Ovis aries: one gene and its partner. The protein of the gene in region 1 interacts with the protein of each later gene in a biochemical or structural test. Links are inferred from orthologs where the notes say so. Each region holds a gene or a part of one and is shown in the gene's direction. Other genes may lie near its edges. The genes, in order: STAT2 and IFNAR1.

Region 1 (3,817 bases):
CCCTGCTGCGTGGTGGGTATTGCCACCCTCAAGTGAGGAAGTGAGGGCTCAGGGAGATTAAGGGAGTTATACCAGGGGGACAGTCGGGGTTTGAACCCAGGGCTGTCTGACCCCACCCCTGTGCACTTTCCACCACAACTGCCTGCCCATTTGGGCAGCACTTTGCCTTTTACAAGGTGCTTTTCATCTGTGTGATCTCACTGAAGCTTCACACCTCTTCCAGCCCTGGGAGGTGGATACTGTTGGTCAAATGAAATGACTTGGCCTACACAAAACAGTCTGCAACAGGTTGGCAGAACTGGGGCCCAGCCCTGGCACTCTGTCCCTCTACAAGAGGAGTAGGAAGCAGCAGGACCTCACAGCTGCTCTCTACGCTGCAGACGTATCATGGGCTTTGTGAGCCGGAACCAGGTGCGCCGGCTGCTGAAGAAGACTGTCTCTGGCACCTTCCTGCTGCGCTTCAGTGAAACGTTGGAGGGGGGCATTACCTGCTCCTGGGTGGAACACCAAGATGATGGTCAGCAGCTCTACCGTTCCCTCAGCCTCTCCTTTCCTCCCCTCTACTGCCCTTGGCTTCCCTGGCTCTGTCCCAAATCCCTTGGCAGATTTGGGGTTGGGCAGCCAGGGTGGGAAGCCCTCGGGCCCAGCCTCTCCTCTCAAGCCTGCCTGTTCCTACATCTGCTCTCTAGACGAGGTGCTCATCAACTCTGTGCAGCCCTTCACCAAGGATGTGCTGCAGTCACTCCCACTGACCAAGATCATCAGCCAGTACCAGATGCTCACAGAGGAGAACATACCCGAGAACCCACTGCGCTTCCTCTACCCGCGAATCCCCCGGGATGAGGCTTTTGGTTGCTACTCCCAGGAGAAAAGTGAGAACCATTGATACATTTCACTGGTAGAGTGCAGGGGTCCACAGGCATCCATAAATGCAGCTCTTCCATTTCAAGATGGGAAAACCGACATCCGAGAGGGGAAGGGATTTGTCTGTGGGACGCTGCTAGTCAGTCAGTAGGACCATCTGCACTAGAGGACCCTGGGGCAGTGTGTCCAATCCACTGACCTCCTCTGCCTCCTGTGTCTGTCCCCCGTAGTTAATCCTGAGGAGCGGAAGAAATACCTGAAACATAAGCTCATTTTTGTCTCTAACAGGTGAGATATGAACTCTTTGCCCACCTTCCTTAACCCTTTTTGGCTAATATAGTGACCCAGACCTGCCCAGTTCTGGTCTCCTCGGCCTTCTCTCCTCCAACCCAGGCTCCCCAGCCCTCTGGGGGTTTTTCTCCTACCCTTTTAGCCTCTATTTTCCTGCTGCCATCCCTAGGTTGTCTCCATGGGGGTTCCCTGACAATAATCATCATCATCACTAATGCAAAGCATAGTACTAGATTCTTTTAGAACATGTTTTTTTTTTTTTTTCCATTTAATCCTTATGAGAACCCAGCCAAGCCAGAAATGGTAATAGCCACAGTTAATGAAAATTCATTATGTGCCAGGCACTGGGCTAAAAGCTTTGTGTTCTTTTTCTTATTTACTGACTTCATAACAGTCCTGTGAGGCAGAAAATACTGTTATTACTGTTTTCAGTTGAGGAACCTGAGGTTTAATGTGGTGAAGTGTCATGCCTCAGGTACATGGCTAATCAGTAATCCAGGTCTCTCAAATTCCAGAGCCCTGATTTTAACCATCCTCCTGCCTCTCAATTATTCTGAAGTATGGTTGTTTAGGCTCAGAGAGGTTGGGTCATTTTGCCTAAGGTCCCCCAACTAGTAAATGATAAGATTTAAACTCTAGTAAGCCTAATTCCAGAGCCTATGGTCTTAAGCCCTCTGCTCTGTTGCCTTTTTAGACTAGAAGGATAGCCTCTGCTTTCTCTGCCATTCCCCACTTCACCTAAACAACTGAGCCCTGCTCTTTTGTCTGTATTGGGTATCCAGACAGGTGGATGAGCTGCAGCAACTGCCGGAGCTCAAGTTGGAGCCAGAGCTGGAGTCATTAGGGTTCACATCAGGGCCTGAGCACGGGCCAGGCCTGGACTTAGAGCCACTGCTGGAGGCAGGATTGGATCTGAGCATGGAGCACACGCTGGAGCGCACGCTGGAGCGCACACTAGGCGAGGTGTCACAGGGAGTCCTAGAACCACACCCAGGACCACAACTGCAGCTGGAGCCTATTCCAGAGCTCGATGTACAGGCCATACCAGAACCAGATTTGCCCTATGATCTGAGACACTTGAACACTGAGGACATGGAAAGTAAGTGATGATGTGCAACCAGGGAAGAGAGGACACATTGCCTTTCCCAACTCCCCTCCCTCACTCGCTATAGAAAAAGCCTATGTTCTAAGCTCCTCATTGGAGAAAGGCTGATTTCCCTGCAATTCATTTCATTAGGAAATACACATGCCTCCCCCAACCCACCTAATGCCCCCCTCAGGCCCTATCTAGGCCTCTGCTGCCATCCTCTCTCACTTTCCCTGCTGGTTTGGGAACTCCTACTCTGAGATCAGGGCCTGACTTCTTTCTCTGGATGATCCAGTCTTTAGGAACAGCATGAAGATTGAAGAAATCATGCCAAACGGTGATCCACTATTGCCTTGCCAGAACACCATGGATGAAGCTGACGTCTTCAGCCCCAGCCACTTCTATGCAGATGGGCCCTTGAGCCCTTCTGACTACTAGGAGCTACATTTCCTCAGATCTTTCTGTGCATCTGCCCTCCTACCCCTCACATCATGACACTGCTCTCCAAGGATGGACATGAGGCATGTGCCCCTTCTAAACTGGGTTAACCCTGGGGGAATGTGAGGGAGAAGCATAATATGGGTGAGGGAGAGGCAGCAATGAATCAGAAGAGATGTTACCCATGGCTCCGACTAGGAGCCTGGAGGCTGCCTGCTGTGCTGGGAGGTACAGGCATTCAAGGGCAGGCCAGGACAGTTAGGAGGTTCCTGTATGGCTCAGGGCAGTGGCTTCTTTCCAGTATGGAAGGCTTTCAACATTTTAGTGACTGATAAGACTAACCTGGTGCTCATTTCATCTTTCTGGAATGCCCTTTCTGCTCATAACAGCTCTGACTGTTGGCCAAGAAAGCAGGGAAGGAAGCCCTGGGTCAAGGAGCAAGAGAGGGCCACGCCTAGGAACGATACTTCCCAATTGCAGTCCCTTGTAACCTCATTCAGCTTGCTCAGCCTTAGCAGGGATTATGGCCAAAAAGATCCCAGTTACTCTATATACCAAGGGGTCACAAGGTAAGACCCCTTTCCACCATAGCCCTGCAGAACAGAAGGATGCATTTTATAGTGCTTTGACTCTATTTTTCCATTCTGTTTCTTTTTACTGACAAGCCTAGACTTAGAGATCCACATAAATAAGTCTTTATTGAAAAAGGTACATAATTCAGTATAAATATAATAAATAATCCTCATCCCCAAGCTCCTGCCACTATAAATAATCCCAAAATTTCCCTTCCCATATAATAAATATTCAGCCTCTCCTGAGTCAACATCATAAGTCAGTCAGTTTTGGTAATTTTTCAACAGAATAAGTCTCATTAAAATTAATGGACCGATGAACTCATTGGCTCACAGGTGTCTAGGTTGATAGATTGATCTTAACATTACTGAGCCATGGAGGTCTGGGTGTCATCCTTAAGCTGCTGGCTTTAGGGGCTCAGAGTTGCTGCTCCGTGGGCAAAGACCCGGGCAGCTACAGCCACAAAGGCCTGGAGGCTTCGAAGGATCTTGAGACGGAGAAGGAGGCGCTGCCATGGCTGGCTGGGAATAGGGCTTGGAGTCTGCTCAGCTTCCCAGTGGTGAC
Region 2 (3,817 bases), on another chromosome or scaffold:
CAGATTCTTTACCGCCAAGCCACCTGGAAGCCCTCAGTGTTTGTGACTGACATCTAAAATGTATTATGACGGGGCTTCCCTGGCGGTCCAGTGGCTCAGAGTCCACCTGCAGTGCAGGGGACGCTGGTTTGATCCCTGGTCTGGGGAGGTTCCACATGCTGTGAAGCAGCTGGGCCCAGACACCACAACTGCTGAGCCCACACTCTAGAGCCCGAGAGCCACAACTACGAAAGCCCATGGGCCAGAGCCTGTGTTCCGCAGCAAGAGAAGCCAGGGTAGTGAGAAGCCCACGCGCTGCAGCTGGAGGGCAGCCCCCGCTCTGCACAACGAGAGAAAGCCCACATACAGCAGCAAAGAGCCGGCACAGCCAAAACTTGCAAAAAGCTTTTTTAATTATAAAATGTATTATGATGTTAGGTAGCATGGTGTTTTTATTCAACAAATACCAATTGCCTTTTATGCCGAATACTTTCCTCAGTACTTGGGGTTACGTTAGTGAATAGAGAGACAGATGGCATGAAGTTTTATTATGACAGTGGTTTCAAGAAATGAATTTTCTATTGATTGCATATTTATTTTCAAATTATATTTCTACTCTGATGTAAGTACTGTATATGATAAAGTTTTTTTAAAAGAAAATGTAAAAGAAGGGGCAATAGCCCCCTTACGTCTCCTGAGCAGAAAGAACAGACGTGGAGTGAAGGTGGGTTGAAACCATATCAAGGCTTAGTTACAAATTTTTTATAATGTTTTCTGCTTATAATAAGAGCTCTGCAGGTAACAGGAGAAGAGATGCGTTACTGGCTTTTTGCCTGGAGCTCACTTTATTTCAACCCTCTGTGCCCCTGATTGAAAGAAGTCTGTGTACCCTTCCCACTTCCCAGACGTCCTTATATCTCCTGATTGCTCTAGAACTGTATTTTCTAATAAATGACATGGGGGAGGACTGAATTTTGGTTTAGATGTTTAAAATCTGAATTTTTAAAAATAGATTCTAATGTGGAGGAGTTTCTCAGGAAGATTTGCATGTAAATTAAGGTGTTAATACTGCTTGTGAAAGGGAAGTCACAACTGCTTGACGCAGGTCATTCTGTTTGGGAGCACTTCTCACCGCTGTGATTTTTCTGACTAAATCCAGACTTGTCCACATGTTATGTGTACAGTCTCAGGAAACAGATGTTTCTGGGCGAAGGATGTCCTGAGTGAGGGAATATATGTATGCCACATATGCAAACAACTGGCAATCAGGCTGCCAGTCATGATTTCCAGAAGCTTCATGAAGGATTTCTATCCAGATGAGTTATCTTTCTGAACAGAATTGTAGAAATGTCATAGCATTTTTGTGTACTCCACTGTTGTGCTGTTATCTCTGAATTATTTTTGATAATTTAATAAAAGGTTGTGAACATTAATAAACAAAGGTGTTATTAATGCCAAGTCTACTCAGAGTTCAAGCAGGTAAAGTTAGAAGGGCAGACTGGCCAGGAATGAAGTGTGTCCATAGGGTAGTTTTTATTATTGGCACCTTTAAAAAAAAAAAATGTTTCTTTTTTTTGAAAAATAAGGTAGACTTGAGTTGGAGTCAGCACCAAAATTATTTAGATACCACTCCTACTTTCTATTGCTTTTAGTAAAGAATATGCTTAGCTTTTTAAACAACTTTTACTTATTTTTGGCTGCCCTGGGTCTTTAGTTGCAGCCAGTTGGAGCTATTGTTTTTGCAGAGCGCAGGCTCTAGGTGCGAGGTCTTCAGTCGTTGTGGTGCATAGGCCCAATTGCCTTGGAAACTTCCCAGATGAGGGATTGAACCCATGTCCCCTCCACTGGCAGACAGACTCCTAATCGCTGGACCGCCAGGGAAGTCCATCCTTTAGCTCTTTATTAAAGACACTTTAGCATCTTTAATATATAAACATGAGCTTATGCTAGAACTATGCATTAGGCTTAAAAAAGTGTCTTCTCAGAGGTTAGTTTCCCTGTTTGGTATGAGGCAGACAGGGCTTTCCAGAGGCAAAAATTCTGGAATCTAGTATTTGTTTTCTGTTGCTCACCTTCACTTCAGCGTCCTCTCCTCTTTGCGGCAGCATGGCCTTTTTGTTTTAGGCACCCTGTGTCAACTTGATTTCTTCATGTGCTTTAAAAAAAAGTCTAGTAGCAGTCACTTAAGCTTGCTTCCTGGTGAGCTGAGTCCGCATGGAGAAGTTTGTTAGCTTATGTTACCATGTTACGTTCTTTGTTTCTGGTGCTATAATAGAAGGAATTGCAGAGATCAGTATGCAGAAGGGATGGTTTGGTTTTAAGCAGAGCAGAGGAAGTTCTCAAACCATACTGATTCTGAGGTCTTGCTTAGGGCTAGTAAATCTCTTCCTAGGAGGAGATCAGAAGGGAATCAAATCCAGTTTCCAGATTTTCAGTATGGAAGAGAGGATCCAGAATAGGAAGCAGTTGGCTGAAAGTGACACAACTATTTTTAACAAAGCCAACAACACTAAGTCCTCTTTCGTCTTAGGAGTTCTTTCTCTGCTTCTTTGAAATCCTAATGCAACCACCCACAGAATTACAGAACTTTATTAAGTTGAGGGTATGTTAGAATGATTCCACTGTATAAATAATAACTTGGCTGTATATGCAATGAAAAAGAGTAGTAGAATGCTACACACAAAAATATTATCAAAACATTAACTGAAGTAGAGTTACTAGAAGAAATAACTACTTGCCTTAGCTTAGAGGCTTCCCTAGTGGCTCCGAAGGTAAAGAACCTGCCTGCCAGTGCAGGAGACACGGTAGATGTGGCTTCCATCCCTGGGTCAGGAAGATCTCCTGGAGGAGGAAATGGTAACCCACTCCCTTATTCCTGCCTGAAGAGTCCCACAGACAGAGGAGCCTGGTGGGCTACAGTCCATGGGATTGAAAGAGTCAGACACGACAGGGAGACTAACGCACACACTGGCTTTATAATGTTAATGCCAATAGAAAACATGTTTGTCACTCTTGTATTTATAATGTTCATTCATTCATTTGCTTTTTTATCTTGAAGACTAGGGACGGATAACTGGAAAAAATTGCCTGGGTGTCAACATATTACTAGTAGCAAATGCAACTTTTCTTCAGTCGAGCTTAAAGATGTTTTTGAAAAAATTGAATTGCGCATAAGAGCAGAAGAAGGAAACAACACTTCTACATGGTATGAGGTTGAGCCATTTGTACCATTTCTAAAAGGTAAGAAAAAGTTGCCAGCTGAATTATATTGAATTCTTTATTAAATATTACCAGCACAGGTCACTTCCCAAGCCCACTCATTTGCATGATATAAAATCTCCCATCTTTTAAAAAAACCAAAAGAACAAAGATTCCCTTAAACTGGTGTCTCCTTCCTGCTATGACTTCATTTTCCTGCTTTCCTTCTAGTGGTGTTTCTCAGAGGGTGGTCTCCAAGAGATCTGTCAAGTCAAAACCATTTTCCTAATGGAAACTTACTTAATAAAACTTACTTGCCTTTTTCATCTTCATTCTGTCGTGGGTGTACCCTCTAGTTTTTTAGAGGCTGTTTGATATGAGATGGTGACTGACTGGTGATGCAGAAGTGGGTGTGAGACACAGCTGTCTTCTTTATTAGGCCAGACATTAAAGAGATTTGAACAAAATGTGAGATGAACACCACCCTCTAAGTTTTGTGGCTTGTTTTGGAAAATACAGTCATTTATTATTATGCAATAGGTTTCATCATTACTGTTTTTTAATGAATTGATAGATATTTTACATTGTTATCACTTTTGACATCTGATAATGCTGAACATTCAAAGACACAGCCCATGTA

What was found.
Region 2: the proteins of STAT2 (region 1) and IFNAR1 form a complex in vitro, tested with the Homo sapiens proteins (2 studies listed by BioGRID). The link is inferred for Ovis aries from reciprocal best matches to the Homo sapiens genes STAT2 and IFNAR1.

What each region holds. Positions count from the first base shown.
Region 1 is NC_056056.1:163,224,641-163,228,457, forward strand, and holds part of STAT2 (signal transducer and activator of transcription 2), read left to right. Parts: intron 1-380; coding exon 381-517; intron 518-689; coding exon 690-872; intron 873-1,094; coding exon 1,095-1,152; intron 1,153-1,937; coding exon 1,938-2,254; intron 2,255-2,537; coding exon 2,538-2,680; 3' UTR 2,681-3,662; coding exon of another isoform or gene 3,663-3,817. UniProt on the Homo sapiens protein: Signal transducer and activator of transcription that mediates signaling by type I interferons (IFN-alpha and IFN-beta).
Region 2 is NC_056054.1:122,862,326-122,866,142, reverse strand, and holds part of IFNAR1 (interferon alpha/beta receptor 1 precursor), read left to right. Parts: intron 1-3,037; coding exon 3,038-3,219; intron 3,220-3,817. UniProt on the Homo sapiens protein: Together with IFNAR2, forms the heterodimeric receptor for type I interferons (including interferons alpha, beta, epsilon, omega and kappa).